Caenorhabditis elegans: one gene and its partners. The protein of the gene in region 1 purifies or fractionates together with the protein of each later gene. This does not show direct contact. Each region holds a gene or a part of one and is shown on either strand. Other genes may lie near its edges. The genes, in order: C29F5.1, pinn-1 and acox-1.6.

What was found.
Region 2: the proteins of C29F5.1 (region 1) and pinn-1 fractionate together in Caenorhabditis elegans (co-fractionation; one large-scale study listed by BioGRID). This does not show direct contact.
Region 3: the proteins of C29F5.1 (region 1) and acox-1.6 fractionate together in Caenorhabditis elegans (co-fractionation; one large-scale study listed by BioGRID). This does not show direct contact.

What each region holds. Positions count from the first base shown.
Region 1 is NC_003280.10:6,301,393-6,305,147, forward strand, and holds the start of C29F5.1 (START domain-containing protein), read left to right. Parts: upstream 1-2,132; 5' UTR 2,133-2,162; coding exon 2,163-2,246; intron 2,247-2,688; coding exon 2,689-2,862; intron 2,863-2,992; coding exon 2,993-3,195; intron 3,196-3,731; coding exon 3,732-3,755.
Region 2 is NC_003280.10:2,887,098-2,890,852, forward strand, and holds the start of pinn-1 (Peptidyl-prolyl cis-trans isomerase), read right to left. Parts: upstream 1,911-3,755; 5' UTR 1,909-1,910; coding exon 1,854-1,908; intron 1,807-1,853; coding exon 1,733-1,806; intron 1,625-1,732; coding exon 1,498-1,624; intron 268-1,497; coding exon 161-267; intron 1-160. Other genes in the region: Beta-1,3-galactosyltransferase sqv-2, read right to left, coding at 2,125-2,206.
Region 3 is NC_003284.9:15,836,549-15,840,303, forward strand, and holds the start of acox-1.6 (Acyl-coenzyme A oxidase), read right to left. Parts: upstream 1,999-3,755; 5' UTR 1,978-1,998; coding exon 1,861-1,977; intron 1,694-1,860; coding exon 1,512-1,693; intron 1,458-1,511; coding exon 1,390-1,457; intron 500-1,389; coding exon 316-499; intron 271-315; coding exon 1-270.

The DNA of each region.
Region 1 (3,755 bases):
CAATAAAACTCGATTGATTTATTTAAAAATTAGATTTTTATAGTAATGAAGTTTGAATTAAGAAGTTCTCTTTTGTTAAAGTTAAGAATTCACACAATGATCTACCTTATCAAGCGCGAGAAACAATTTGGCAGTATTGAGCTAACATTTCTCAAAAAATAACGGATTTTTAGAGAGATTAAAAATAGAGGATTTTTCAAACTGGAGGCCCGGATCTGGACAATTTTATTTAATTTAATTTAATTTATTACGATAGAAGATATCGTGAGGTAGGAAAAAAAACACACATTAATAGATACAAACCATCACAAGTGGTTACATAAATAAATTACATAAATAAAACGAAACAAAAATAAAAAAAGAGATGAGAAGAAAATAATGGCTACATTGGAGAAGAAGCAAAAAACACAAATATCGATGTATAAAAGGCAAGAATAAATGATGAATAGAAGTGAGGATAAGGTAACATTAGATCAGTGTTGCTTCATTGTGGGTAGTGTTCTGTTGACAAAAAAGTGTCTCCTAAGTTTAGATTTTCCTGTGCTCCAGATATATTTCTTTTTAGAACGAGTGTGGGTCTCTTGTTGCTCAAAAAACTCAGATGTTTTTAAGTCTACTTTACCAGTATTCATTCTGATTACTTGGATTCTGTCAATTATTTTACGTCTCGTGCTTAAGGTTTGGAGGTCGAATAGTTCGTTACGTTCCATGGCAGTTTTGTAATCTTTATCAGTTGGATTAATATATCTTTTTTTGATTCTACTATAAAGGCGCCTAGAAAATGCGTTTTGTACAGACTCTATTGCTTTCTCATCCGATTTTTTTGTCGGAGAAGACACTACTGTTCCATATTCTAAACGAGGGCGGATGAAAGTTTTGTATAAGAGAATCATTAGTTTCTTATTGGAGGTACTGTACTGGTTGAACATGTTGGCCAGTTGAAATTTAGCTAGATTGATACATTTCTTCCAATGCTCAGAGAAATCCAGCTTTTCAGAGAATAAAAATCCAAGGTCTCTGGTAATAGCTTTTCGTTCAATAGGGTAACCGTCTAGGTGGTATTTGAAATCTATTCTACGTTTTTCTACAGTGACGTGAACTGTCTTTGATTGGTTTAGAGTGAGTTTTGATCCCCTTGTCCAATCTACTACAGCATCTAGAGCAGACTGTAAATTGTTTTCGCTTTCAGTCTTAGGGGTCGATACATACAATTTCGTGTCATCTGCAAACTGTTTACATGCTACTTTTTCGGGTAATATTGATGATATATCATTAACATAGATACCAAACAAAAGTGGTGACAGAACTGCGCCTTGTGGGACGCCACAAGTGGCCAATTTTCTGGATGACAGCGTTTGCCCAATTCTAACCCTAAAGCTTCTATTTGATCCTTTGTTGGCACAATCTTCTGGAAATTGATACTCCTCGATATCCAATTGATCACAAACATCGATATTCTTCAGAGTCTCTTTTTTAAATATCCAATCAACATTATTTAGCATATTTTGAAGGGAATTAACAGTCTACAGAAATTTATATTTATTCATCCTTTGTGAACAGTATGGAAGCGTTTTGAATAAAAAAGTTCCCAAGTTTTTGTTTAATGTTGCTCGAATTTTTATTTGCTAATCTTTTTGAGGTTTGAAATCTAACTGGTTGGGAAATCGTTCTGTCTAAAATTTATCATTATGAGCTTTCAAATAAAATATTTGTCATTCTACAGCCTCGTGATACAGATTTCTGTCTTTAGAAAATTATAAATTAAGCGAACGCTGAAATACTTATTCTCAACATTTTAAATTATTCGTTATCACAAAAACGTAGCCCAATGCTCCCACTCCAGGTGATGGTCAATCGATGTGTGCGTGTGTCCTCCAAATCTATACGAAATCTTTTCATTGTCTTTATTTTCTCCGAGATATTGGGATCCCGTCATCATCATCGGTGTTTCGAAACTTTGTCGATGAGATTGGACGGGAGCTCCTGCTCCCCCGCATTGTAATCTTATCTGAGTCTCTGTCTTCATAGACTATTTTTTGTTCCCGAACACCCCCTCATGTGCTCTCTCTCTCTCTTTCGTAGGGATCCGTTGTGCTGAAGAATGGCCTCTCTTTAAAACACAACACGTCGCTGGACAGATCGCCGTATAGCCGCTGTTCGATATGTCTGCCGACGGATTCTGGTTGTTTGAAGGTCTTGAAGAAGAACCATACGGTCTTCTTCCATTAAACAATTTATCTGGAAAGGTGAGTAGTTATTAAATATCGATGTAGGACTTTTTTTTTGGTTGGAGAATGTTTTTCTAGCTATTGTATTTCTTTACTTATTAATGAATTTCACAATTGAGAAGATGCCGAGCATTCACTTATGACCAACCAACATGGTAAAACTTCTTGATATTTTATTGTATTAGTTTAAAAGTTGTCTTCTAGATTTTTTGCTACAAAAATTAGAATTTTTAAGTTTCCTAGCTTAAAATTTTAAATGTCTTATGAAAATATTATAATTAGAAATATATGGAAGTTTTTTAAAAATATATGGAAATTTTTTTGTTGTATAAAGATCCATTAAAAATTAAATGATTTGCTGAAGATTTTGTGGAAAAAATGTATGAAAGTAAATGTGAGATTACAGTAAACGTGAGAGCGAATCATCTACTGTTTTCGTTAATAAAAATCAATTTTACAGGGAGGACCAACAAGTACAAAATATGTAGACCGTATTGGATCGTATCAATGGTATCTCAATGATGAGACAGCAACTATTCTTGTTCCAGGAGCACCTGTTGAATCATTCTATTGGCCAGGTGGCAAGTTGATGCAAGATCATGGAGTGATTATTTATGACGTCAATCATTTGAAAGTGAGTTCATAAGTTGTTGACTGAAACACGAGTTGAAGCACGAGAAGCGTGTAGATTTTTTTATTTGGAAAACAAAAATCAATCCATTTTTACAAGCAATGTGCTGATTTGGAAATCAATATAATTACAGGTACGGGAAGGATCTTTGGATGCCATCATTATTGCGGCACGTTTGCTCAGTGAGAAAAAGAAGAAACCAATCGATTTCTCTCAATTCCATTTTATCACGGATGCTATCAATTTGCAAAAGATTTTTGCATTCTGTAATGAAGCCGGAGAAGGATTGTTCCGAATCGATTGTGAACGCGTTGGAAAGACTGTTCTGCTCACTAGGTAAAAATAAATAGGTAGTATATATACCTATGTATAGGTAATAAATAAAAATAAGGTACCGTATATCCTCTATTAGTTTTGCACCCCTTGGCTCAACTTTGGCAGCTCATATCTCAGTAGTCGTTTGTTCTATAGAAAAGTTGTCAACTGATAAAATATTTGTTAGGTGGTTTTCTATAGTATGTAGTTTGTTAATTATTTATATGTTCAAAACAAAATGAGATATGAGCTGTCAAAGTTGAGCAAAGGGGTGCAAAACTAATAGAGGATATACGGTAGGCATGCAAACTGAAAACGAGAAAATTTAGTTTTATCTGTTTATTAAAAACTTTTTTGTTTTTAAAAAGTTTTTATAGTTTTCGTGATGCTTAGTAACTGGATTTTTCAAAATTCAGAAAAGTTTAGAACTTGAAATAAATTCTTGAAAAATTCGCACCAAAAAGTGAACATCTGCCTTGTCAGCCCTTCTCAAAGCAAAACTTCTAAACTTTTCGGTATTCTTATTTACTCAAAACAAACCAATAATTGTATTTCAGAATGGAAGCTTCTGATTTAATGGA
Region 2 (3,755 bases), 3.4 Mb from region 1:
AGGCTTTTTTTCAGCTATAAAATCGAAGGAAAATTGTATTTTTGAAGCTTTTTCACACAAAAATTTCAGGAAAAACGACATTTTTCAACAAAATTTGAACTTTTCAGGGCAAAAATTTGCGTTTTTTCGGTACTTTTCCTCCGCCCGGCGGTTACAGTACCCCAAGATCTCCGCCACGTTTTGCCGAACTGCAATCGCTGAATTGTTTGGCGAGTTCACGGAATTTTCCCTCAATGTTCGACGCATCTTTCAGCTCCTTTTCGTAATCTGAATGAAAAAATATTGATTTTTAGACCAAAAATTCCGATTTTTTAGCTTAAAAATCATTGAAAAATTGGAAAATTCGGCGAAAATATACTTTTTCTGTCGAAAAATCGAAAAATAGAGCTATTTTTCGATTTTTTTTTTAGTAAAAAACCTGCAAAATGCAGTTTTTAGCCGATTTTAGACACAAAAATGAAGAAAAATCGATGATGAAATCCAATTTTTCGGCTAAATGTGAGAAAATCCGCAATTTTCAGCAAAAACCCGGGGAAAATCGATTTTTAGCGCTGAAAATTGAATTTCCGCGCGAATTTTTAGGTTTTTACTGTGAAAATGGGTGATTTAGAGCTTTTTTGGCCATTTTTCCGCGAAAATGCCAGATTTTAGGCTGAAAATTAAGAAAACGTCGATAAAAATCATTTTTTCTGGAATTTTTGCGGCTAAAATTCAGGAAATTGGCAATTTTCGGCTCATTACTCTGAAAAATCAAAATGTTTCTCGGTTTTTCAAGTGATTTTTAAGGAAAAAATGCGAAAAACCGCAAATTTCCCGAAATTCTCGTTTTTTTTATACAATTTTTAGTCAAAAATTTCATTTTTTTAAAGCAAAAAACGGCAATTTTAGTGCTTTTTTCGGACAAAAACGGTGAAAAACTGACTGAAATGCCGATTTTAGGCTGAAAAATGAAGAAAAATCGATTAAAAACCCATTTTTCCGGGTAAAATTAGAGAAAATCGCATTTTTTTGGGATTTTTGAGAACCAATTTTTCATAATAAAAAACAATTTTTAGTGCTGAAAATCCGCATTTTGGGGGTTTAAAATGTGAAAAATCCGGATTTTTCCGAGAAAAATTTAGTATTTGAGCTAAACAGCCGAAAAACTTGCCATTTTCATGAAAATTTCACTAATTTTCCGCTAAAAATCAGAAAATTGGCAATTTTCGGGTTAAAACTCTAAAAAATCGTAATTTTTCGGGGTTTCAACGCGATTTTTCAATTAAAAATCGGTTTTTTGCGCGGAAAATTGGTCAAAAATCAGAGAATTTGCTTTTTTAAGAAATTTTCTCGAGAAAAATCGAAAATTTCGGCTAAAAATTAAATTTCCGCACGGTTTTTCAGGTTTTTAATATAAAAAATTGGCGAAAATCCGGTTTTTTTGGCATTTTTTACAGGAAAAACACGTTTTTCGAGCTAAAAAATCCGATTTTTCACGAAAATTCCGCAAATCCGCACTTTTGAGGATGTTAATCGCGTCATCCTTGGATCTTGTGATGTGATCGGACCGCCAAGACGATGGATTACGGCTTCCATCGTGTTTTACGAGCAAATGAAGGCATTGGACGGATTTTAGCTCGCTTCCCTGGAAAAATATCGATTTTTGCGGGGTTTTTGGGTGAAAAAACGCGAAAAATCACGAATTTTGAGTGATTTTGAGCGAAAAATCAGCTAAAAATTGCCATTTTCTCACTTTTCCAAACGCCGACTCGTCTGGGCGCTCCCATTGGCTGCGGCCGGTGGCCGTGTTGAAGTAGTAGACGCGATCTGGAAAAATTATCGATTTTTTTCGCAGAATTTCGCGAATTTCCAACCATTCGAGCGGCTCTGACGCTTTTCCCATCCGGCTGGCAGCGAATTATCGGACATCTGTGAGAATGTATGGGTTTTTCTGGGGATTTTGCGTAAAAATAGGTATTTCTGGGAAAAATCAACGATTTTTCGGGGGGAAAAATGAATAAAATCGGTTTAAATGTGGAAAAATGCAATATTTATACGAGAAAGACAATTATTATGCGCGGAAAAACCGTAGAAATCTGGAAAATTGGCCCGTATTCAGTAAAAAATGCGATAAAATGCAATAAATTATGGAATATTCGATCCGTTGACTCTTGTACAACATTCGCTGGGTGCTTTCGAGAAATCGTACACGTAGGATGGATGTTTTCTGCAAGAAATTGGTTAAAAATTGGTGAAAAATGATGGAAATTGATTAACGCGGCCGAGAAATCGATTTTAGGCAAGCGCGCTCTATGGAGAATCGGTCGTCGCGGCCACGGAGTCCTCTCGGAGAAGAGGTGAATTAATAATTTCGCGAATTTCGCATAATTTTGGCGATTAAAAGGGGTTTTTGCAGGTTATTTCCGGTTTTTCGATGGGAAAATTGATGAAAATTGCATTTTAAATACGAATCCAGCAAAAAACAAGCGAAAATTCGATTTTTTCGCTGTTTTTTCCCGAGAAACTTCGAAAATGGCTTAATGTTTCGCCGACTTTCTAAAAAATCGGCCTATAAATGCGAATTTTGCAATTTTTCGAGTGATTTGGCGCAATTTTCGCACGAAAAATCAGTTTTTTGGTCGAAAAATGGAAAAATTGGCAAAAAATTGGAATTTTTCGGGGTTTTGTACAAGAATGTCGAAAATTGGACGATTTTCGGTAAAAATCGACCATTTTTATCCGATTTTTCCAATTTTCCGGCCGATTTTAACACAAAAATCTGGTTTTTTTGCGGAAAAACCCAGAAAATGGCCAAAAATGGGTAAAAATTGCGAATTTTCTAATTTGTCCAGCAGATTTTGGCAATTTTTAGGCAAAAATCTGAGAAAATAGCTTTAAAAAATTGGTGAAACTTGTGAATTTTCTAATTATCCGAGCGATTTGGCAGTTTTAGGCTAAATTTCGGTTTTTTGGGCTGAAAATTGGTGAAAATTGCGATTTGTCCAATTTTCCGGGAGATTTTGACGATTTTTTTACTAAAAAAACCCAAAAAATTAGCGAATCCGGGGCAATTTTTTCGCATTTTTCACAAAATCGGCTTAAAAATTTCCGAAAAAAAAGGCGATTTTTCTAATTTTTCGAGCGATTTCATGGGTTTTTTTTGGTGGAAAAATCCAAAATTTGGCGTAAAAATTTTGTCAAAAAATTCAGTTTTTCGAAAAATGGACCATTTTTTCCGATTTTTCTTAGGAAAAAGTGAATTTTCCAATTTTCCGGGCGATTTTGACGATTTTTAAACCAAAAATTCAATTTTTTTTTGTTTTTAAATTCAAAAAATCCAAAATTTTAAGGCTAAATCCTTTAATGTTAAGGCCAAAATTTTGATTTTTAGGCCAAAAAATCAAAATTATTTTTAAAAAATCTTAAAATTTTTTTTTTAATTTTAAAAATCCAAAATTTCCAAATTTTTGGCCAATTTTCCGCAAAAAACCGATTTTTAATTGAAAAATCGCGTTGAAACCCCGAAAAATTACGATTTTTTAGAGTTTTAACCCGAAAATTGCCAATTTTCTGATTTTTAGCGGAAAATTAGTGAAATTTTCATGAAAATGGCAAGTTTTTCGGCTGTTTAGCTCAAATACTAAATTTTTCTCGGAAAAATCCGGATTTTTCACATTTTAAACCCCCAAAATGCGGATTTTCAGCACTAAAAATTGTTTTTTATTATGAAAAATTGGTTCTCAAAAATCCCAAAAAAATGCGATTTTCTCTAATTT
Region 3 (3,755 bases), on another chromosome or scaffold:
GTTCCATCTGGATTCACTTTTGCGTATCTCATCAGCAATGCTTTTCTTGGAATTCTGACTTTATCGAAAAGTAAGAATCCATTGTCATTTCCATTGATGCCAAGTTTTGGTCCAATATCTCCCAAACGAATTCCCTTGAGTGGATAGTGAGTGTCTTCATCGCGAAGTTGCACAATGAACGGATGAGGTCCTTTACACTCTCCTTTTGTGTACAACTGTGCAACAACCACAGCGTAGTTCGACGATTTACCCAAGCCTCCCGGCCACCATCTTAATTAAGACCATCACATTTCTTATCACATTTTGAATACTTACTTGGCTGCAGTGATTGTTGGCGAGTTCATAACAAACTCTTCTGTGGCTGGATCATAAGTTGCAGTGGTTTCCAGTTTTGAAAGGTTTGTACCATGACCGAGTTCTGTTTGAGCATAAGTTCCAACTACTGCACGGGAAATTGCTTTGGTAAGCCACTCGTCCAGTTGATCATCGTCAGTTTGACCTGAGAAAGTTTTATTTGATAAATTTGGATTTTAACGTGGATTTCTGATTTACATCATAAATGCAAGTAGGGGTCTTTATAGCGATGCGCGGAACCCAAAAAGTGTCGGACGCGGAGCCAAGTCTCCACCAAATGGTGACATACCCTATCGCACTATTTTGTGAAAACGTGGCTCCGCGTCCGACACTTTTTAGGTTCCGCGCACCGCTATAAAAATTTTGGAGCGCACCGTGAGAGAGTTGTTTTCGGGGTCGACATGGGAGCCCCGTGCAAGTGTTAAATTGAATATGAACTATTAAAGGTGGAGTAGCGCCACTGGGGATTTTGCCAAATTACACCTATTTGGCAAGTTGCCAAAATTTTGAAACATATGAGTTTTTGAGGAATTTCAAAGCAATGTCGCATGTCCCGACCCCTACAACGTTTTAATACTAATAGTTAAAACAAAATTACAGTATAAAAAATGAAGAAAAAAACTTTTTTTTTTGGTCGACTTCCAAAATTATGAGTGGCAGAAACTGAGTAATTGTCACTTTTTGACATTAAATAAAAAATTGTCAAAAAAGTTTTGTAAGAGTTTTATTATTATATTTGGTCATTTTGAGACAATTGGAGTGGTTTTTAAGATTTCCCCCACTGGTGCTACTCCACCTTTAAGATTTTTTTTTCACTACAGTTGCATTTGAAATGTAAAGTTTGATCAAAAGTTTTAAGATTTAAAACTACTCAAGATCAAAAGCTGCAACTGCCAATAATGCGTGATTTTTTGAGTTAATTGAATTTAACTTTGAACATTTTTCAAAAGTCTCTTTTTGAAAATTTTATATTGGAACAACTTCTAATGTTCCGAAGAAAACATTTTCAGGTTTCTACTTCTCTAAAAATAGTACCTTGAAGTGTTGGAATAAACATAACGTAATGAAGCGACATTGCATGAAGATCACGGCCCATCGTCAATCTTAAATTATTTTCAGTTAATATGTTTTTACCAAATTCCCAAAAAAAAACTGACGCTTGATAATACATTCCTTCTCCGAAGAAGTCAGATCCATCAATCTGATCGGTGTTATTTGTCATTGCCACAACTTTACGAGCATTGTTCAGAATGCGTTCTTCGCGAGACATAAACTCTGTTGGAACCGGATCTTTGAAGTCGTCAACGCTTTTGACAAAATCCAGAATTTCACGGCGACGCTGAACATTAAGAATTTTTTTCCAAATAACTAACTGTTTTTGGAAGCTCCGTTATTTATTTTGGCATAATTTTTGAATTAAGATTGGAAAATCATCCATAAAAGTTAATAATATAAATTTTCGAATTAATATTTACCTTTTTCTAGCAAATGCAGACTAAAGCTTACCTTCATAACTTCAGTCCCTCCATGTATCCAAGCTGACATACGTTCTGTGTCAAACGTAGCTTTTTTCCGTTCATTGGTAATGTCTACATTATCGCCTGGCTGAATCCATCGACTCATTTCAAAAATTTCAGTGAGTTCCTAAAAAGAGGTAAGTTGATAGAAATACATATGTACAAAATTTTTTCTTTGAAAAATTAGAAGAAAAAAAAAACAACAAAAAAATCAAAGTTTTTTAGCAGAGCAACACAACTTGCTTAAAAAGTACTAATAAATAGACTGGCTACATGGGACACTACGTGCTAACAACGGGAAAAATGATAACAAGGAACTTTATTGATAACGTTGGTTTAAAACTATACTACGGTTCCAATATAATAGAAACACTTTTGAAGAAATTGCTTCAAACTGTAGTATACTTTGATTAAATAGACTGTCTTTAAAAAAAAAACTTTTTATATGACTTATAGGAAAATCTATAAAAAACAGAGATACACGAAAATAGAAAAAAACACGTAAGAAAAAACGTGCAAATAAGTGTTTATGAAATGAACGCAACGACAACAGTGTAGTCGTTAGGCATTCCTGTTATCTCGGAGAGTCAATTGAAAACATGGAGACGTAGACGCGAAGACTGATTAAACTGGATTAATTTGTTTATAAGAATATTGATTATACAAAAAAGGGAGAGAGTTTTGATAATTTCTTAAAAATACGCTTGGTGCAAAAAATTGACAAAAATAACCGCACAATTGATTATGAGATTAAAGGTGGAGTAGCGCCAGTGGGGAAAATGCTTTAAAACATGCCTATGGTGCCACAATGACCAAACCTCATAGTAAAAATTTTTTAAAAAAATTTCTAAATTTTATATGATTTTTTGAAAATTGAAAAAATCTCGAATTGCATCAAATTCCTAATTGAATTACCGCCAATAGTTCGATGTTTGATGGTGCGCGCTTGCATTATTTTAACTTTTATTTATCAATTTTTCTTAGTTTTGATTGATTTTTCATGTTTTTTGTGTAATTTTACTAGAAATTTAATGAAAAATTCAAGATAAATGTAGATTGTTCACTAAAAATAATTGAAAAAAAAAGAAATAACGTTTTCCAACGACGTTGAGCCTGAAATATTCTATTTCACAGATTTAGGCTTCAGCGCCCGCTTTTTAATAACAAATTTACATTTCTCTTGAATTTTCCATTAAATTTCCAGTAAAATTACTCAAAAAAAAACATGAAAAATCAATCAAAAATAAAAAAAATTGATAAATAAAAGTTAGAATAATACAAACGCGCTCCATCGAACATCGAATTATTGGCGGTAATTCAAATAGGAAGTTGATGCAATTCGAGATTTTTTCAATGTTCAAAAAATCATATGAAATTTAGAAATTTTTTTACAATGATATTTGGTCATTGTGGTACCATATACATGTCTTAAAGCATTTTCCCCACTGGCGCTACTCCAACTTTAAATTTATCGGTTTCATTTTTTCTTTGGAACAAAATTTCCTGGTCGCATATTTAACTGGGTAAGTTGAGATTGAGCTATGTAGTTTGACAAAAAAAAAACAGATTTGAATAGATAGTTTCTGATAAAAAAATTTGTGAGTGCAAGATAAACACCGCATCTTGAAAGTTAAATAAAAACATGATACAAAATGTTCTTCCGTTCTTGAGAATTATTCCCCCACACTTGTAAAATTTAAGTTTTTAGATATCAAACATGGCATTTATTTGGGATTTTTGTTTTCGGAATCCATTTTTTCTATATTATATTTTCTCGTTTTGAATAAATGGAAACTGAAACAATTAATAATTCAATTGAAACGTGGTTTCTTAACACAAATGTATTTGTTTGTTCAATCAGGAATTTAACAAGGAGTCTAACAA